Linked DNA regions of Canis lupus familiaris. The protein of the gene in region 1 purifies or fractionates together with the protein of each later gene. This does not show direct contact. Links are inferred from orthologs where the notes say so. Each region holds a gene or a part of one and is shown on either strand. Other genes may lie near its edges.

Region 1 (10,230 bases):
ACCCCTCAGCTCTAGCTCAATGGCCAACAACTTCTAAGCCACTGAAGCCTTCCCCAGAAATGATCAGGCAAGACAGCTTGAGTATGGCCTGGTAAGTCTTAAGCCCCACTCTTATCCATCAACTAACCTCTTCCAGTCTCCTGTCATTTTTAAAGTCCAGGACACACCTCCCTGCTCCCAGCTTAAGTATACTCTTAAAAACGTATCTGCTTTGTAAAATACGATTAAAGCACAACTCCACACACTGCCATCCATTTATCCCATTTAAGGCCACTGTGGTCCTAGTGGGTTTTTACCTTTTCAGCAAGTGGAAAGGTGTAATCAGTTTCCACAGACAAAGCCAGGACCCGCTTGTATCCATTGATGATAGAATGGGGCACTGATGCAACAGTCGGGTAACCTATCTGCAGACATACGCTGGCAACGTTGCGGACACCCTAGAGAGAGGAAGAAATTACATTTCATTTTAAAAAAAAAATTTTTAAAGACTATTTATTAAAGAGAAGACACAGAGAGAGAGAGAGAGAGAGAGAGAGAGAGAGACGGAGACACAGAGGGAGAAGCAGGTTCCATGCAGGGAGCCCAATGTGGGACTCGATCCCAGGTCTCCAGGATCAGGCCCTGGGCTGAAGGTGGCGCTAAACCGCTTAGCCACCTGGGCCGCCCAGAAATTACATTTCAATTGAGGTATCTATCTTACAGACAAGACCGTGAAGCTCAAGCAAAGTTCAACAGCAGATAAGACTTCAAGACTGACTTGCTGTGTCTCACACCAAATGCTCCTGGCAAGGCAATTCAGACCCAGTAATTCATAAACATTTTTTGCCCTTACTCTAAACAGGAGTATTTCATACACCACAATGATGGCATTTACTTCAACAGTCCCCATTCTGTCATCATTCAGTTCCATGAGAAAAAAAAAGTTAAGCTAATTCCGATGAGAATTTCATCCACCATGAAATTTCCAAAAACAGCAGTATACATAACTGCAAATTTTTCATTTGTCCAAGAAAAGGAATTACATCTTTCATCACCTTACTTATCCATTTAAAAAATTTTTAATGGGGATCCCTGGGTGGCGCAGCGGTTTGGCGCCTGCCTTTGGCCCAGGGCGCGATCCTGGAGACCCGGGATCGAGTCCCACATCAGGCTCCTGGTGCATGGAGCCTGCTTCTCCCTCTGCCTGTGTCTCTGCGCCTCTCTCTCTCTGTGACTATCATAAATAAATAAAAAATTAAAAAAAAAAATTTTAATGCCGATGCCTGGGTGGCTCAGCAGTTGAGCGTCTGCCTTCAGCTCAGGATATGATCTCAGTTCTGGGATCGAGTCCCGCATCGGGATCCTGTATGGAGGCTGTTTCTCCTCCAGCTGCCTATGTCTCTGCCTCTCTGTCTCTCATTAATAAACAAAACCTTAAAAAAATTTTAATGGTAAAATTTTTTTTTTATTTTAAAGATTTATTTATTTACTCATGAAGACAGAGAAAGAGGCACAGACACAAGCAGAGGGAGAAGCAGGCTCCCTACAGGGAGCCCAATTCGGGACTCAATCCCGGATCCCGGGATCACGCCCTGAGCTGAAGGCGGACTCTCAACCGCTGAGCCATCCAGGTGTCCCTAATGGCAAAATCTAAGCAAACTAATCTCAGGTAAAGTCAGTTCTCCCCAGAGTGCTTGGCAACAACATTTATGTATCACACAGTCCTCACTTTTCTTTCTTCTTTACCTCAGGATACTACTCAAAAATTCCATGTTTTATTGCAGTCGCTAGAATAACAACGGCCCTCACTTCGTGCCCAGAGCTGCTAGAAAGCTTTCTATTCGTTATTTCTTTAAATCCGGGACGCCTGGGTGGCTCAGTGATTGAGCATCTGCCTTTGGCTCAGGGTGTGATCCTGGGATCATGGATGAGTCCCACACTGGGCTCCCTATGGGGAACCTGTTTCTCCCACTGCCTATTTCCCTGCCTAGGTCTCTCAGGAATAAATAAATCTTTTTAAAAAAAAAAAAAACAACAAACCAAACTCTTTAAAACTTCAACAACCTTATATTATTTTTATATTATTGCTGTTCTACAGATGAGGTAACTAAACAGATTAAATAACCATCTTGATTATGCGGCTGATTTCAGCTGCACAGCCGGAATCCAGTCTGAAGCTAGCCATACTCTCAACCATTAATGTACCAAGGGCCTGAAATGGACAGCTTGTACCTCCAAGAAGCGAGAATGCAGAGTTTCCTCTGTGATGTCAAGCACTTCAGGGTTGTAGATGCTGCCATTATCAAACACCTGCTGGATGATCAGCCCAAAGGAGAAGGGGGAGATGTTCAGCATGTTGAGCAGTGTGGCTTCGCTGGCTCCCACTTTGTCTCCGGTCTTAATCAGCTGCACATCACTCTGAAGAACAAGTAACAGTGGGCGGTCAACACCTGAACAGCCAGCAGGTCCACAGCAACCAAGCCCCCACCACTTGCCTGGCTAGCACTGGCCAGCCAAGTCCACTCACCAAGATTTCAATGGTGCCCCTAGAGATCTTAGTGGTAATGCCTAAAGCCTGGAAGAAAGAGGTCTTCTCGGGCCCCAGACCTGTGTTCTGGGCTGGCACAGTGACTTCACATGGAGCTATGGCACCAGCACGGGCAGCAGCAGGAACCTGAAGGGAAACAATATTAATTAGTCTCCTCTCCACAAATACAAGCTGAAAATGGTCAATTTTCCTTGTAAGAAGCAAAATTAATTACGAGACTCTAGCCAACCTGATTATCTTCTTACCTTATTGGCCAGCAGCATGTCCCTGATCTCAGTGAGGTCCTCCTTGGTGAATACAAAGCCCACATTCCCCCGGATATGAGGCAACAGTCTGCAAAGAAAGTTTGCAAGAGAGTGTCACCATTCAGTACTGATTCTTCTCTGGGAAAGGGGAGAAGGGTACCGAGAAAGGAGGACAAAGATGCCCAGGAGAATGAACTGACTTCTCCAGGGCTGGGTTGTTCTCCAGATGCCCTCGGATGGCCTTGCGCATCATGGTGTTCTTGCCCATCAGCACGACAGCCTTCCCGCGGAGGGACATGCGGATCTGCTGCATCTGCTTTGAACCCACATTGTCTGCTCCCACAATGAAGCATTTTGGATAATCATCCAAAAGTTGCTACAAAGACAAGCCAGAAACAATGTTTAGCAGGAGGAAAGAGAAACATCAAGAAAAACCAAACCCCATAATCACCGGCTTCCATCTCACTCCCTTCCTTCTAGGCTTTTTAAGTGACTCAGAAATTGGGACAAGTCCTCCCACTGGGAGCTATGAGTTGTAAAACTGTCAAATTTATCAAAGATTTGTACACTGAGTACGAATAGTGAAAATGAAGTTTCTAATTCAATCCCCCAATTTTTTTTTTTTTATCGTAACATTCATTTTTGCGGCACCTGCATGGCTCAGTTAAGCGTCTGCCTTTGCCTCAGGTCATGATCCCAGGGTCCCTGCATTGGGCTTCCTGTTCATGCTCTCTCACTCACCCTCAAATTTTTTTTAGACTTTATTTATTCATGAGAGAGAAACAGGCAGAGACAGAAGCAGAGGGAGCAGCAGCCTCCATGCATGAAGCCCGATGTGGGACTGGATCCCGGGATCTCACTCTGAGCCAAAAGGGCGAGATCCTGGGATCTCAAGATAATCTTCCCCAATTTTTAGGGATTCATTAAATGGCTGCATCAACAACAACAACAACAAAAAAGCCATTCCAAAAAAGGTAGGCTTACTGCAATAAACAAATACCAATAAAACAAACAACAAAACGCTACCTGCAGGATCTAGATTGTGGATATGGGACTACTGGACAATTCTTTTAAGTTTTCTGTGTCTGAAAACTTTCATGATAAATAGGGTAGAAGAGACTAAGCTCCACAAGGCAGCCTAATGCCTGCAAAACAGGATGGTCTGCATTTCTGGGCAGGGAGGATTCCCCCACCCTCAAGACCATCCGTGAAAACACATTAACGGGATTTTTTTTTTTTTTTTTTTAAAGATTTGAGGATCCCTGGGTGGTGCAGCAGTTTGGCGCCTGCCTTTGGCCCAGGGCGGGATCCTGGAGACCCGGGACCGAATCCCACGTCGGGCTCCCGGTGCATGGAGCCTGCTTCTCCCTCTGCCTATGTCGCTGCCTCTCTCTCTCTCTCTCTCTCTCTCTCTAGGACTATCATAAATTAAATAAATAAATAAATAAATAGGATTTGAGAAAAAGGTGCACTCAGGAGCAGGGAGGGGCTGAGGGCCAAGCAAACCCCCCACTGAGCAGGGAGCCCCAAGCTGGGCTAGTACCCAGGACCCTGGGATCATGATCCCAGCGGAAGAAGGCAGATGCTTAACTGTCTGAGCCACCCAAGTACCCATGAGGTGTTTGGTATCGTGATAAGACCTAATATGCAACAAGTTACCACTTTATAATGAGTCACTCATTGGCTCAGGCGTTCCCAAAACGGGGGCAGAGGAGCATTTAGTATAAATGCTATTTGGAAGCCAGACAGACCACAGTATGAATGCTGTCATCTTAGGAGCCACTCAACCTGCCTGAGCCCATTTACCTGCAACAAGGAGGGGAGAAGGCGCAGATCTCCGCACACTGCGAAAATTAAACGAGATTTGCCTAAAATGGTCATTTAGTAGCCGGTACCCAGGAGATGCTCAACACCCGACAGCTCACGGTCCCTGTCAGTGCCCAGGGCCCAAGCAGCAAAACGGGTTACCGCGACCCATCTCCGCACTTACGATGATCTTAAGGAAGTAGTTGGATTTCCAGGTCGCCCTGTCTTCCCTGGGCATCACGGCGGTGCGTCAGGGATTGCCACGCAGGGTTTAAAGACGATGTCACTGCGGGGAGAGAGGGAGCTCAGACAGCCCTCGACACCCGTCACCTCGGCCCCACCGGGCTCCAAGCCCGAGGCCTATGCGGGGCGGGCCACACGTGAGCGCGCGCCCGCCCGCCCGCCCGGCTCGGGGTTGCCGCCGCCGCCGCCACTCGGGGAGCGCAAGCCCCCGCCGAGGCCCCAGGCCCAAGAGCCCTGGGCCCGGCCCCTCCCGTGATCTCACAAAGAGCCCCCCCCATCTCCCCGCGGCCCGGGCCCGGACCGACGGCAGCGGCCACACGAACCTCCCACGAGGACGCCTGGAGAGAGGAGGGCCGCGCGCCGGCGCACACCTTTTATATGTGAGCCGAGCGGCCAATCAAAAGACCCAGACAGTCTCCCCACCCCTTAGCTGGCGCCGACGTCTGCCTGGTGACGCCACCCTGAGGTCGGCAGCCATTGGACGATGGTGCTGCCACTCTAGACAACGGGAAGCCGCCTTTAAACCAAGCGGTTAAGGAAGACGCTGTTTCCTGTTGGAGGAGCCGGCTCCAAGCTGCTGCCCTCTGCTGGGCTGGAGGTGCTCGGGTGCAAGGGCTAGAGCTCGCGAGCTGAGCGCTGTTTCCGCCTGCCCCCTGGCCAAACCGCAAACTGAAAAGAATACTATGTGGAACTGAGGAATAATTGCACATGCTTTTTAGAAACAGCATGGTCTCTTGTCTACTTGACAATTTGTTCTTCTCCCTACCAAAACGGAGGAACCCTTTGAAACCTAAGTCACGGGCCGCCCGGGTGGCTCAGCGGTTTAGCGCCTGCCTTGGGCCCAGGGCGTGACCCTGGAGACCTGGGATCGAGTCCCACGTCGGGCTCCCTGCATGGAGCCTGCTCCTCCCTCTGCCTGTGTCTCTGCCTCTCTCTCTGTCTCCCATGAATAAATAAATTATTTAACAACAACAACAACAATAATAACAACAACAAAAAAAAGCCAAGTCAGGGGCACCTGGGTAGCTCAGTCGGTTAAGTGCTTTAGGCTCTAGTCATGATCCTGGGGTCCTGGGATCCAGCTGCGCATGGAGCTCCCTGCTCAGCGGGGAGCCTGCTTCTGCCGCTCCTTCCTGTTTCTGCTCTCTAATAAATAAATAAAATCTTTACAAAATAAATAAAACCTAAGTCAGATCATTACCTCATCTGCTCAAAATTCCTCAAAGGTTTCCCATTTCCTCAGTATAAAAGCCTAAAACTTAAACTGCGTACGATCTGCTCTGGACCTCCCCCTCTGTAATCTCGACTCTTTTCCTCCTGACTCATTCCCTTCCAGCCTGTCGAGGCTCTTTGCGTTTTTCCAAAGCATGCTCCCACTTGAGGGGTCTTGCACTAGCTAGTGCCTCTTCCTGGAAGGCTTGCTGACATTCATAAAAGTAACTCAACTTCATCAAGTCTTGGCTCAAATATCATGTGTTCAAAGGAGCCCTACCCTAATTGCCCTGTTTAAAATTACCCAAAAAATCCACTACCACTCCTCCCTTAACTCTGCTCTATTTTTAAGGTAGCACTTACACCTTTTTCTTCTTTTTTTTTTAGCACTTACATCTTGTAACAGTGTATAATTTACTATGTTGTTAGTTGTCTGTCTCTCACTGCGGGAATGCAGGCTTCCCAAAGCAGAGCCATTTGTCTTGTGCCTGGCACATAGCAGGCATATAACAAATATTTATTGAGTGAATGAATGCAAGGTTTGCAGTCAGAAGACCTAGATCCTTCTTCTACCACTTGCTAACTGTGTAACTGTGTCCATCCTAGGAAGCGATTGATTGATTTTTAAGATTTTATTTATTTATTTATTCATGAGAGACACACAGAGAGAGGCAGAGACAAGCAGCCTCCTCACAGGGAGCCTGATGCAGGACAATCCTTGGACTGGGATCACTCCCTGAGCCAAAGGCAGACACTCAACCACCAAGCCACTCAGGTGTCCCTTAGGAAGTAATTTCATCTTGCTGACCCTCCGTTTCCCTTTCCTTAACTGTAAAAATGGGAGTAATGAAGTATCCCCATTCTAGAGTTGCTATGAGGATTAAATGAGATATGTGTTAAGACTTAATATAGTCCCTGGAATGTAGGCAGAAATCACTAAATTCTTGTTTCTTTTATTATACATTCATTCAACACTTATTTGAATATTTGTGCTATATCTATATATCTATATCTATATGTTTTTTTGGTAATGATTGAGGTAGATTCTAGGCCTGAAGGAGTGTTTCTATCTTCACCCTTTCAAGTTAGAAATTTCTGTGTTTTTCAAAGCTTCTGATGTTGCTTCTGGTGACCAGCTGTTTAGAGAACTGTTAGAGTCAATTACTGCTAAGATCTTTTTTTTTTAAGATCTCTTTTTAATGACAATATATTACTGCATGCTCAGCATTGCACTAAGTACTTTGTCCACATTACTGCTGTGAATCCTTGCAACAATTCCCTGAGGAGGTACAGTATTAGCATTTCCGTTCATCAATGATAAAATTCACAGAGAGGTTAAACAACTTGCTCAAGCCCCAATAAACACTGACTTGGGAAATGAAATCTAGGAGCAAGTTCAAAGCCCATGGGCTTCATGATGCTATACATTGCCTTCTAAATTCTGAGGCTGTCTCTCCCTAAATGCCCTTTTTCAACTATATACATACTCACATGGTACCTTTCCAAGGACATCCTGGCTCTCATGATATAAATATCTCTAATTGTAGTACATCAATATAATGGAACATCATGAAGCCATTAAAAAATGATGCAGGTCTCTATTTATTGACATGGGAAAATACTCACAAAGTACAGTTGAGTGAAAAAGCAAATTACAGTGAAACATGCCATATCCATTTCTATAAATAAAATGAATTCAACATGGTCCAGAAGAATAAACCATCAGCACTTTCAGTGATGGTCGAAGGTACTTTCCACTTGAGTGCACCGTGAAATGGCCAAGATTCCAACTAAAATTCAACATGCTGCTTTTGGAAAACCATTCTAGAGAACGGAGAAATTATGAAGCATCTCAAAGGGGAACAATGCTATCCAGGAAGCTCCTGAGGCTCAGGACTATAGCATGCAAATATGGATACGACCACCAGGGGGCAGAAAAGACCCACCCTCAAATGTAAATTTGCCAACTTCCGCTGGGAAGGTTCCACACCCAAGGTGTAGTGCCAGCACGTGGGGTGGGGGGTGTCTGGCCAAAGCAGGAACACAGGCAGAGGCAAGCCCCGGGTTCACATCCTGCCTCTGTGCTCACTCAGGACCGTTTTGTGCATGTCAGTTCTCTTCTCTGAACCTCTTTCCGGAGCTGTAAATAAGGGTGAGGCCACCCACAGGCCCACCTGAGGGTGCCCTCAGCAAGTCTACAAGCAAAGCACTAGGGCAGGGCCTGAGCCACACAAGGCCCAACAACACTGTTCCCCCTGCTTTTCCTCACCAGCTGCTGGAGAAATGCAAAGCTCACACAGGAATCCCATCCCCCAGGGCTGTCTGCCTCAAAGAAGGGAACATCACTGAGTTACCTTCAATATGGTCCCCCTGAGTCTGGGGAGGGTTTGGTCTCTCTTCTGGTACTAAGTTGCTACCTCAGACTGCCAAGAAAAGGAACTAGGCATGGGTGAAAATAATGGCAAACTTTATTGGCATAAATCACAGGAATTGACATGGGGAAAAGCCAGGTTAGAAGTTTACAGAGAAAAAAATAAAATCAAATCAAATAACCATTGACCCAGAGGGTGGACCCCAGACACCCCAGTCCCCCTAGGGGAGGGGCCTGGGGCAGGTCACTGTAAACAGAGCAATAAGGCTTATGGGTGGAGTGGAGTTATCAGACCTTTGGAGGGGCCTGGCTGACCTCCTCAGACCGGGGCTGCTTCCAGTCCTGCCTCAAAGGAGGGGACCCTCTTCTGAGACCCCCACATGCTCAGCCTCTGCTGTGAAGCTAGTGAAGTGGTCTGGACCTTCCTCACTTTAGACCCCACGGGGGCCCCTTTCTGCTGACTCAGAAGCCCAGGCCTACCTGTTCCTGTTTCATCCTTGAGGGACAGAGCTCTGGGGGCTTCCTGCTACTTTAGCAGGATCCTGTCCCGCTGCCCAGAGTCCTATCGGGCTCTGTTGCCACATCCTGGGCCCTTTCCCCTAGACCTCCAGTCTCCAGGGAGGGCAGGAAATTTGGGGAAACGGTGGGCCCAGTGGAACCAACAAAACTAATGGTCAAAACAACACACCAGCTTTCTTGACAAGGCAGAAAAGCGGCGTGGAGGCCAAGAATGTTCAATGGGTTCTCTTGTTGCCAAAAAGTTCACAGGGGAGCAAGGCTCCTGATGCCTTACTCGGGCAGGAATCAGCACCCCTAAAGTATACTTTCCCCTTTTCCTCCCTCAGGAACAGGACAGATGAGGTTCAGAGTTCTAGGCCCCAAAGGGCAAGACATCCTGAGGCCAGTGTCATTAAGAGCTTGCTGGCCCAGGTAGTATCCAGGAAGGGGTTTTAAAATACAGCAGTTTATAAAACAGTCCTGGTGAGCTGTGAAGTTAAGGAAGGGGAGTCAGAAAGCTGCTCCCAATTCACCTGCTTGTGCTAAGAAAAAATAAAATACAAATTGCTTCCCCACCCCAAGCCCTCAGTACAAGGCAAACCCCATACCACAGCCATCATCACCAACAGGACCAGTGGCCATGGATGAGAAGAGTATAAAAAGGGACAGCTTTAAAATCTCTTCAAAATCATTTTGTATAGAGAAGTAAAAGCAACTCAGACAATATGAATTCAAACCTCAGTGTAGAAATCTATCAAAGTCGATACAGTGTCCAGGCACGGGGTGAAACTCCCCACCTCACACCACCCCAGAGATGGAGGAAGTGACTATAAAACATTATTGCTGGAGAGAGGCCTTTCTCAGTAGAACCAGAGCAGTTGTGGGGGTTTGGGGGGCAGCTGCCCAGGCCTGGGGAGACTGGAAGGGCAAGAGGAGCCCGAGAAACCCTCTGCGGCCCCTCGAACACTTCCACCCTTGGACAGATGGATTTATGCTGGCATTGTCTGAAGGGAGTGGGTATCCCCCATTACTCTCAGGACAAGGATAATTAGGTTGGGACTGGGTGGGGGAGAAGGATAAAAAAAGACCCCATCTGACCCTGCCTGCCCTTCCCCTGGCTCCACTGCCAAAATATGAGTAAGAGATGGCTCCAGTGTGGGGTGCTGGCCTGGCCAGGCGGGTGCAAGGGGACAGACGCAGTGGAGGCTGGGGCCCTCCAGCCTCCACCTCCAGGGAGGATGAAGAGCTGACAGCCTGGGGAGGGCTGCAGGAGAACAAAGGCCCAGAGGCTCCGGCAGGGGAAAGAAGAGCAGGCCCTCTTGCCATCC
Region 2 (10,207 bases), on another chromosome or scaffold:
AATAAATAAAATCTTAAAAAAAAAAAAATAGCAAGTATGTTTGGTGAACAATCAGTAGTGTGAAAACCAGTCATGAGAAACCAAAGCTGCTGCCTGATTGCAAATGACTGGCAGGGAGGAGGTTTGAAGGGCAAAGGCTTAGGCTTGCTGGACCATGGGATTCTGAGAACCAGGGATACCAGCTGTGTTTTTTGTACCTTACACAGAAGGGAAATAACATCTGCATACCAGCAAACATTGATGGGCAAGTTCATCCCCCAGTATAAACTAGGTATTATTCCCATTTTGCAGAGGAAATTAAGAGTCAGGGAAACTAAAAGGGGAGTATAACTGGGCGGACTTATATATATATATATATATATATATAAAGATATAGAGGCAGAGACAGGCAGAGGGAGAAGCAGACTCCCTATGGGGAACCCGATGCGGGACTCGATCCCAGGACTCCGGGATCACCTCAGCCAACGGCAGATGCTCAACCACTAGGCCACCCAGGGTCTCCTGGGCAGACTTTATAATTCAAAATCAAATGAATGTTAGCATCTCTACACATGTAAGTGGATCTCCTTGTTTGAATATCATTCTTTAGAAAGGTATTTAGATTTTTACATTTAAAAGATTTCTTTTCGAAAGCTAGACCCACCCATGAGGCCATGTTACCACTTGAGTATTACAGAAAACATTTTCATTGTAGTTTGGATAACTGAACTTGATACTTATATCCCAATTTACCACTTAATTTTCAGCTGTTCTAGATACAGTTTTCCTTTATCTTCTTAAGTGTTCTTTAATCCGTTCAAAATATTTCCTTGGCTAAGTGTCCATATTCCCTTCTGACACTTCAGGGCTCACCAGGCACAATTCCTGTCATCTCAGATCTCTAGAACCCAGTGAGGCAGGTGTTGTCCTTAGACACAGGACAGGAGAAAGGAGCAGAGGCACCGGGAGAGGAGCAGTCGGAGCCTGTCTGAATCCTTCCACTCATTTACTAGCCTTTACCTCAAGTTAACCTCTGACCCATGACATGGTCTTACCATGGGATTGTTGTGCAGAGGACAGGACATGCTTGAGATCAGCACAGCACTATTAGCTGATGGAGGAAAATTAAGTACTTAAGCTCTTCACCCAACGTGGGGCTTAGAACTCTTAACCCCAAGATCAGAGCTGCATGCTCTACCTAACCATCTGGGAACCCCCACAATCACTTTATGACCCATTCCTCACATGCTCAAAGGATTCTAATACATGAAAACTCCAAAACTTGAATACCAGTAACATCTAAACCTTAAGAATTCTTCTATATCCATAGCTCACTTTCTCTGCTGATAATTTGGGATCACTGGTTTTCTGGTTGATGGATCTTTGAGGTTTTTGCTTTCAAACACTGCTTTTAACATTCCCAGAGATGCACCCAGATGTCCATACTTCCTCTTGGGTAATTATAGGAACAGAACTGCTGGATTAGGTGTTCAATTTTGTAAGGTACACCAGCTACTTACCCATGTGGTGGTGTAACTTAACACTAATGGTCTTATACATCTTTCACTGGAGGACAGTTGGGGCTACGAAGTCTTTTCATCAACTCCTGGTCTCTCTTAAAACTGGGAGACAGAGGAAAGGGTTAGATGTTCAGATGCCTGGCACTAATTGCTCTGAGGACTTTTTTATAAGTCCAAATAGGGGTTCCTCTGACATTTCAAAGTGAACCAGTCTCCACACCAGTGCTCAGCCACCCCCTTCCCTAAACCCTACTTAAGTCAAATACAGGTTTGAATTAGTTTTAGTCTCTGTAAATGGGGACTCAAACCTGAATTTCCACTACTCCTTCACAGTATTGCTGAATTATAAACCCAGGGATATATCAGTATTCCACTTCAGATGGTTCAGCATAGCTCAAAAATTTGTAGCCAGTAGCCAGAATTATACTTGGGATTTTTTTTTTTAAATTTTTATTTATTTATGATAGTCACAGAGAGAGAGAGAGGCAGAGACTCAGGCAGAGGGAGAAGCAGGCTCCATGCACTGGGAGCCCGATGTGGGATTCGATCCCGGGTCTCCAGGATCGCGCCCTGGGCCAAAGGCAGGCGCCAAACCGCTGCGCCACCCAGGGATCCCTACTTGGGATTTTTAAGATTTTATCTATTTATTCTGTAGACACACAGAGAGAGACAAGAGACACGGGTAGAGGGAGAAACGCTCCATGCAGGGAGCCTGGTGTGGGACTTGATCCCAGGACTCCAGGATCACACCCTGGGCCGAAGGCAGATCCTCAACCGCTGAGTCACCCAGGGATCCCCTATACTTGGGATTTAAGAGGCCTTGATTGTACCACCACTACCACTGACTCTTATTCCTGTCAAAAGGGACAGACCTGGTTATCATGAACTCAAGGTGACCCTGACAAGGCATCTGCCCTTCTCCTACCTCTCCATGCAGTTCTAGAGGCAGTATTAGGTACATTCTTGGTGCAGCACCTGGCTGGTGTACTATTCCTCACCATGAGGTGATGGCAGGGGGGTAAACTCAGCTGGCGTCATACCAATAAAGGCTAAAAACCAGTGTTGCAGAAATGAGATCACCCTTACACAGAACATCCTCAAACAACTGAAAAACCGACAGCAACCAGGACTTCAGCTTTTTATTGAGCAGCTTATAAAAGTTTAGTCAAAGAGACCAAAGCCCATGTCATCATCAGACTCCTCAGATTCTTCTTTCTTGGCTTCCACTTTTTTCTCCTCAGCTAAAAAACAAAAACAATAACACACCTTGTCAGTATTTTAAACTCCAACGAGCTCCAGGCCCTTCAATTTACATGGTCAAAAATACCCAAGACTTCCAACTATGTCCCTGGTTTTAGGATTTCTATCGTCTACTCTTTTAGCAAACTAAGTATTACAGACAGGATTGCTCTTAATCTCCACGCTCCTCCCTCCAATACCAAAAAAGTTTTCTACCTGGGGCAGCAGCGGTGGAAGGAGCAGGACCTCCTGCTGGCGCAGCGCCAGCTGCTGGGGCAGGTCCACCAGCTCCTACATTGCAGATGAGGCTCCCAATGTTCACGTTGGCCAGGGCCTGCAACACACGTGCAAACAGATTACACTCAGTTCTGGCCTTTTGTTGTTACAAACCTCCCACCTCTAAAGGGAGGTAACCTTTACCTCCCTTTTGAACTGACAGCAATCAATCCCCAACACTACATTGCCCTTCCTTCTCCTTTGCTGCAATCTGCCAGTGACATTTTGTCTGCTGAGATTTCCTAGGACTTAGGGACACAGAGCTATATTAAAAACTAATCACAAGAAAACCTACTCAAGCTTAAAATCTTAGAGTAACTGAATTCCTTCCTTTTATAGAGGAGAAAAACTGGCCGCAAAATGCTGGCTTCAGTTGTTGGCAAAAAAACTCAAGCTTCCTTAAATACTCAAACCAAGATTCTTTCCAGTTCCACATCTTAAGAGTGAATTCAATTTTTCAGACTGCGAAGTCCAGGGACTTTACTAAAGAGGAGTACCTTTATTGAAAGTACAATGTTTTCAATCATTCAAAGCTCTTTGGAGGACACAACCTGGAGAGACAAAGCTAATTGCCTCTTACCAGAGACTAAATAATATGTAATAGAAAATGATACCAAGTTCCTTGGGTAAGAATCTTGTCTTCATTGATCTTTTGATATATATCCCAACAGTCAATGTTCAAAATAAGGGCCACTACATCCAATTTCCATGAAACCCGGTTCTGAGATCTAAATGTTCATGAGGTTAAAGAGTTTGACAATTTTATAAGGGACAGCTCTGCCCCTGGTTCACACCAATTCATGACCATGTCTCTGTAGGGGCAGTTGGACACTCATCTCTGGGGCCTGTCACTGCTGTTTTTACCATTTCATTGTCGCACAAATTAGCTATGAACTAATGGGAGTCCTAGCTCTCATACAATATTCCTCTTCTTACATATAATACAGGACGCCGATCTCAATGGTTATCCTAATGCGAATGAAAAACGATTTAAAATCTTATTTCCAGGAGAAATCCTTGATTAAAAATTAACTTTGGACATTGAGAAGAATCAGCACTTAAGAATCATAATCTGTGCTTAAGGGCTAATTTAGCCCCAGTGGGGATGCAAGTTACACTGTACTTTTATTTTTTTCTGATGGATCAATAAAATTGTTATGTATTTAAAAAGAAGAATGGAAGGGCATAGGCAGTATTACCTCCTGGGTGACTCTTTTAAGGAGTCATCCGGTGGGTGTGTAACATTTATGTATACATGTACATATATATGTGTGTGTGTCATGATTTCAGAACAGAAGGAAAAAGAAACCAGACTGCAAACAAGGAAAAGACAGGGGGACGTGTGGGGTAGCTCAGCGGTTTAGCCCCTGCCTTCGGCCAAGGGCGTGGCCCTGGAGACCGGGGCCGAGTCTTGCATTGGGCTCCCTGCATGGAGCCTGCTTCTCCCTCTGCCTGTGTTTCTGCCTCTCTCTCTCTGCATCTCTCATAAATAAATCTTTAAAAAAAAAAAAAAAAAAAAAAGGAAGTTAAAGACAAATTTTAGACTCTAGATATGGAACTATGAGCCGTTCTCGTGTTACAAGTACACCTGACTTTGTAAATCCCTGATCTCCCCAAGTCTGCTTCTCCAAATCACTCTACTGCCATTTCCTTACCTTTGCAAACAAACCCGGCCAGAAAGGCTCAACATTCACACCCGCTGCTTTAATGAGGGCATTGATCTTATCCTCCTAAAAAAATAATTTAAAAAGTTAAAAAAAAAAAAAAAAAACCCGCATTCCACGAGCAAGCAAAGCGCAGTTTTCGGAAACGTCTCCAAACCACTACAACTGAAAGTAAATCACTCAAAACGTGTGTCCAGAAACCACGTTTAACCGCACCAAATACTGTGTCTGTATTTCGCGTACGTTTATTTAAAACGAAAAATTTCTCATGACCCTTAGATCACCGGAGACGCAGCGGCCCCCGCGTGCCGGGCACCTCGCAGGGCGGCAGGTGCAGCAAGCTGACGTGCGCTCCATCCGCATCCCGCAGCCTGGCCCGGGGAGGCCGTCCGGGCAAACGGGTCAGGATGTCTGCCCGCCCGCACGTGGGCCCGCCCGCCCCGCCAGCCAGCACGCACGTGGGCACGCACGCACGCGGGCCCGCCCGCACCGCCCGCCGGCACGCACGTGGGCCCACCCGCACCGCCCGCCGGCACGCACAGGGGCCCGCATGCACGTAAGCACGCACGTACGCACGCACGTGGGCCGCCCGCACCGCCGCCGGGACGCCGATGGCCGCGGCTTCGTCCGGAAGGGCCTAGCAGGGCGCCCCGCCAGCGCACGGAAAGCGGCCGGCCGCAGGCCGACGCCCGCCCGGGCCCGCACTCACCGTGACCGTCACCTCGTCGTCGTGCAGGATGAGGGCCGAGTAGATGCAGGCGAGCTCCGAGACGGAGGCCATGGCGAGGGCGCGTGCCGAGCGCGGTGCTAGTCGCCGGCTGAAGTGAGGGCCTCACCCCAACGCGGCCTTAGCTTCCTCGGAAGGACCGAGCACCTTAGCGGCAGCTGAGGAAAGGAGGTCCCGCGCCTGCGCGCAGCGTCTTATACGAATCCCACGGACCAATCGGCGCCCGCTCCTGGCGGAAGAGGCGGGGCGAGAACGCGCCTGCGCACACAGCGCGACACGCTGGTGAGCGGGGTCAAGAGGTTATCAGGCACCTGCGGCTGCGAATTCTCTTGGTTGGGGTAAAACTCGGGGCTCCTGAGACAGTAAAAATACTTTTAGGAAAAAGTGACCTGAGTAAATAGAGTTCACCCCAGGTAGTGTATCCGGGGTCACGCTATTTGGACGTTTGATGACGTCACCAGGCTGCGGCCCCCCCCCCCCCCCCCCCCCCCCCCCGCGCCCCGCGGGCTGTGAGCACCTGGAGCTCAGCAGCTGTCTGCGGGGAGGTCTCAGGTGCTTAGGACAACGTCCCAGAGAAAAAGCTGCAGGAGGAAAAGAGAAGCTTGCAGCAGCTGCAGCAGCAGCATCCGAGCGCCTACCGTGCCCCGGGCGCTGAGCCGCGGCCTGCCGGGACTCCCCGCATCCTTGCACAGCGCAGGGGGTGAGTACTGTTAGGGACCTACGTATTAGGGATCTACTGGGAAGGAAGGGGAGCTTTCCGTGACAGTTGCATTTGGTATAACGAAGGCACTCCGTGTTTGGGTGGAAATGCCTCGAACGTGCCCTTAAGATACCAAAGATGAGTTGAAGCAACCTCTCTCTGTGTAGGTGCTGCATTGCCACTTTGTATCTTTTGAAACTTAATAAAATCGGTGTTGGATTCGTATTGAGAGTTGTTGGGCTTTTTCTTTCTTTTTCTTTCTTTTTTTATTTTTTTTTTTTTGAGGTATGATTGACATGACATTTTTTATTTCCGGAGTATAGCATTATGATTCGCTATTTGTGTGTATTGCAAAAATGGTAAGTCTTGGTTAACATACATCACTATACATAAATAGCCATTTTTAAGGTCTGCTTTCTTGGCAGCCTTTAAATATGACACACAGTCCTATTAACTATCGTCACCATGTCGTACGTTACACCCACAGTGACTTTTAACTTCAGGTTTGTAATTTTTTACCCCCTTCGCCCATCCCATCCCTCCCTCTGGCAACCACCAATCTGTTCTCTCTTTTTTTAAAGATTTTATTTAGTTATTCATGAGGGACACACAGACAGAGGCAGAGACACAGGCAGAGGGAGAAGCAGGCTCCATGCAGGGAGCCCGACGTGGGACTCAATCCTGGGCCTCTAGGATCACACCCTGGGCCAAAGGCAGCGCTAAACTGCTGATCCACCCGGGCTGCCCTCTTACAGGTTTTTGATTTGCGATCACCACTGGATTCATGTATAACATTTTATATATATTGCAGTCTATATTAAGTTTGAACACATTCTAAAAGCTCTAAATTTTTACTCTCCCTTCACATTTTATGTATATGATGTCGTATTTCACATCTTTTTATTTTGCGAATGCTTTGGCTAATTTTGTAGATATAATTGATTTTACTACTTTTGTGTTTTAACTTCCATATGGGTTTTATAAGGGATAAACCTACTACCTTTATTGTATGTTTGTTTTTAGTTGTGAAATTTTTTCCTTTCATAATTTTCTTCTAGTTATGGCCTTTTTCCAATTAAAGAATCCCCCTTAACGTTTCTTATTAGGCCAGTTTAACTTTTGTTTGTCTGGGAAGCTTAATCTCTCCTTCATTTCTGAGCAATAACCTTGCTAAGTGAAGTATTCTTGTTTTTTTTTTTTCCTTTTAGCCCTTTGAATAATATATCATGCCACTTTCTTCTGGCCTGCATAGTTTCTTTTTTTTTTTTTTTAAGATTTTATTTATTTATTTATTCAGTGAGAGACTTAGGGAAAGAGAGAGGCAGAGACACAGGCAGAGGGAGAAGCAGGCTCCATGCAGGGAGCTTGACATGGGACTTGATCCCAGGTCTCCAGGATCCCACCCTGGGCTGAAGGCGGTGCTAAACCGCTGAGCCACCCGGGCTGCCCAGGCCTGCATAGTTTCTGTTGACAAATCAGCTCATAGCTTTATGGGATTTTCCGTCGTAACTTGTTTTGCTTCTCTGCTTTTAAAATTGTGTCTTTATCGGGATCCCTGGGTGGCTCAGCAGTTGAGCATCTGCCTTCAGCCCAGGGCGTGATCTTGGAGTCCTGGGATCGAGTCCCACGTGGAGCTCCCTGCATGGCTCCCTGCATGGAGCCTGCTTCTCCCTCTGCCTATGTCTCTGCCCCCCCCCCCCCCCCGTAGCTCTCATGAATAAATAAATAAAAATAAAAAAATAAAATTGTGTCTTTATCATCACTTTTTGCCATTTTAATTATGTGTTTCAGTGTGGACCTCCTGTGTTCACCTTGTTGGGGGCTCTCTTTCCTTTCTGAACCTGGGTGTTTGTTTCCTTCCCCTAAGTGGTGAAGTTTTCAGCTGTTTTTTCTTCAAATGAGTTTTCTATCTTTTCTCTCTCTCTCTGGCACTCCATGATGTGAATACTATTATACTTGATGATGTCACAGCCGTCTTTTCTCAGGTCCAGTGAGAATCTTTATGACCATTACTTTGCATTGTTTATCAAGAGTATTATCTGTTTCATTTAGCTCTTTTACTGTGATTTTGTCTTATTCTTTGATTTGGGACATATCCTTGTCTCCTCGTTGTGTCTGTGTTTTGTGTATTAGGTAAATCCGCTATATCTCCTGGTCTTGAAAATAGTGGCCTTGTGTAGAAAAGGTCTTGTGGTGCCCTGTAGTGCAGTCCCCCCACCCCCCACCATGGTAACCAGAACCAGGTGCTCAAGAGGTGTCCCCTTTGTGGGCTGTGTTGTGGCTGAGCTGCCATTGCCTTCAGCTCTGCTAGCTTCCCTTAGCTGCACCGCCTGCTGTGGCATCCTCAGAGTTTACTGCCCGCTGTTGAGAGGCCTCTGCAGCAGCAGTGGGTTTCATTAGTGGACAGGACTGACAGTCCAGCTGTCTACACTTAGCCTATATGCCTCAGCTGTGGGCACACCAACAGCCAAGGCTTGCTCCGTGCAGTCAGCTGAGAGGCTCAGCTGCAGGAACTGTAGGCATGTTGGTGCATGAGCTTATTTCCACCGTGCCTTAGGACAGGAGTCACTTTGGAGGGACACCTGGGGGCAGTTGGATTGGACAGGTCTGCAGGAGAACACCGGGGTGTCAGATGGAGAAGCAGACTCCCCCACGTGGGGCACGATCCCAGGACTCTGGGATCATGACCTGAGCCACCCAGGTACCCCTATCTTTCATTGTATTAATGTGATATATTTGTTGATTGGCATATATTGAACCATCCTTGCATCCCAGAGATAAATCCCACCTGATCATGGTGTATAATTCTTTTTGTGTCCTTGAATTCAGTTTGCTAATATTTCATAGAGAATTTTTCCATTTATATTCATTAGGGATACTTCTGTTTTTTTTGCTGTGTCCTGGTCTCACTTTGGTATCTGACCTTATATAATGAGTTTGGAAGTATCCCAGCCTCATCATTTCTTTGCAGGAGTTTGAGAAGGACTGCTGTTAATTGTTCTTTGAAGGTCTGGTGAAGCCATCTGGTGCTGGGGTTTTCTGTGTTGGGAGGGTTTTGATTACTGATTCAGTCTCTCTAGTCATTATTCATCCTTTCAGATATTTCATTTCTTCTTAGGCTTGGTGGATTGATGGTGTGTTTCTAGAAACGTACCCATTTCTTCTGGGTGTCTAATTTGTTGATATGCAATTTTTTCATAGTAGTATGTATGTATGTCTGTAGTATCAGTTGTAATGTGTCCTTTTTCATTTCTTCTTTGAGTTTTTTTATCTTAATCTGGTTAAAGATCTGTTGATTTTGCTTACCTTTTTAAAGAACTTTTAGTTTTGTTGATCCTTTCTATTTCTCTGGTCTCTATTCCATTTATTTTCGCTCTGATTTTTTTATAAGATTTTATTAATTTATTCATGAGAGATACACAGAGAGAGAAGCAGAGACGTAGAGGGAGAAGCAGGCTCCCCTCAAGGAGCCCAAGGTGGGACTTGATCCCGGATCCCAGGATCATGCCCTGAGCGGAAGGCAGATGCTTAACTGCTGAGCCACCAGGCGTCCGTCGCTCTGGTATTTATAATTTCCTTCCTTCCACTAACTTTGAGCTGGTTTCTCCTAGTTCTTTGAGGGGAAAGGTTATTTGTGATTTTTCTGATTCCTTAACATATGCATTTATTCCTATAAGCTTTTCTTTCAGAACTTTCACTGCATTCTATGATTTGATATGCTATATTTCCATTTTCATTTGTTTCAAGGTAATGTTTCCCTTTGATTTCTTGACACATTGGTTATTCAAAAGTATGTTGTGTCGTTTCCACATATTTTTAAATTTTCAATCTCCCTTTTGTTGTTGATTCCTAGTTTCATACCATTATGGTCAGAAAAGATAGTTGATTTGTTTTGTTTTCTTAAATTTGCTGAGATTTGTTTTGTGCCCTATCATATGATCTGGAAAATACTTCATGTGCACTGAAAAAGAATGTGTGTTATGCCCCTGTTGGTTAGAATGCTCTAATATTAAGTTCTTATGTTCTGTAGTTCAGTTTCTTTGTTGATTTTCTACCTGGATGATTTATTCATTGCTGACAGAGGGGCACCTAGGTCCCCAAC

The links. The genes of interacting proteins can lie anywhere in the genome.
Region 2: the proteins of RPLP0 (region 1) and RPLP1 fractionate together in Homo sapiens (co-fractionation; 5 studies listed by BioGRID and IntAct, with this or other methods). This does not show direct contact. The link is inferred for Canis lupus familiaris from reciprocal best matches to the Homo sapiens genes RPLP0 and RPLP1.

Annotation. Positions count from the first base shown.
Region 1 is NC_049247.1:16,495,613-16,505,842, forward strand, and holds the start of RPLP0 (60S acidic ribosomal protein P0), read right to left. Parts: upstream 4,865-10,230; 5' UTR 4,817-4,864; coding exon 4,763-4,816; intron 3,149-4,762; coding exon 2,973-3,148; intron 2,861-2,972; coding exon 2,773-2,860; intron 2,654-2,772; coding exon 2,507-2,653; intron 2,398-2,506; coding exon 2,212-2,397; intron 438-2,211; coding exon 297-437; intron 1-296.
Region 2 is NC_049251.1:33,774,083-33,784,289, reverse strand, and holds RPLP1 (60S acidic ribosomal protein P1), read right to left. Parts: upstream 5,596-10,207; 5' UTR 5,460-5,595; coding exon 5,388-5,459; intron 4,745-5,387; coding exon 4,670-4,744; intron 3,073-4,669; coding exon 2,955-3,072; intron 2,741-2,954; coding exon 2,661-2,740; 3' UTR 2,621-2,660; downstream 1-2,620. UniProt on the Homo sapiens protein: Plays an important role in the elongation step of protein synthesis.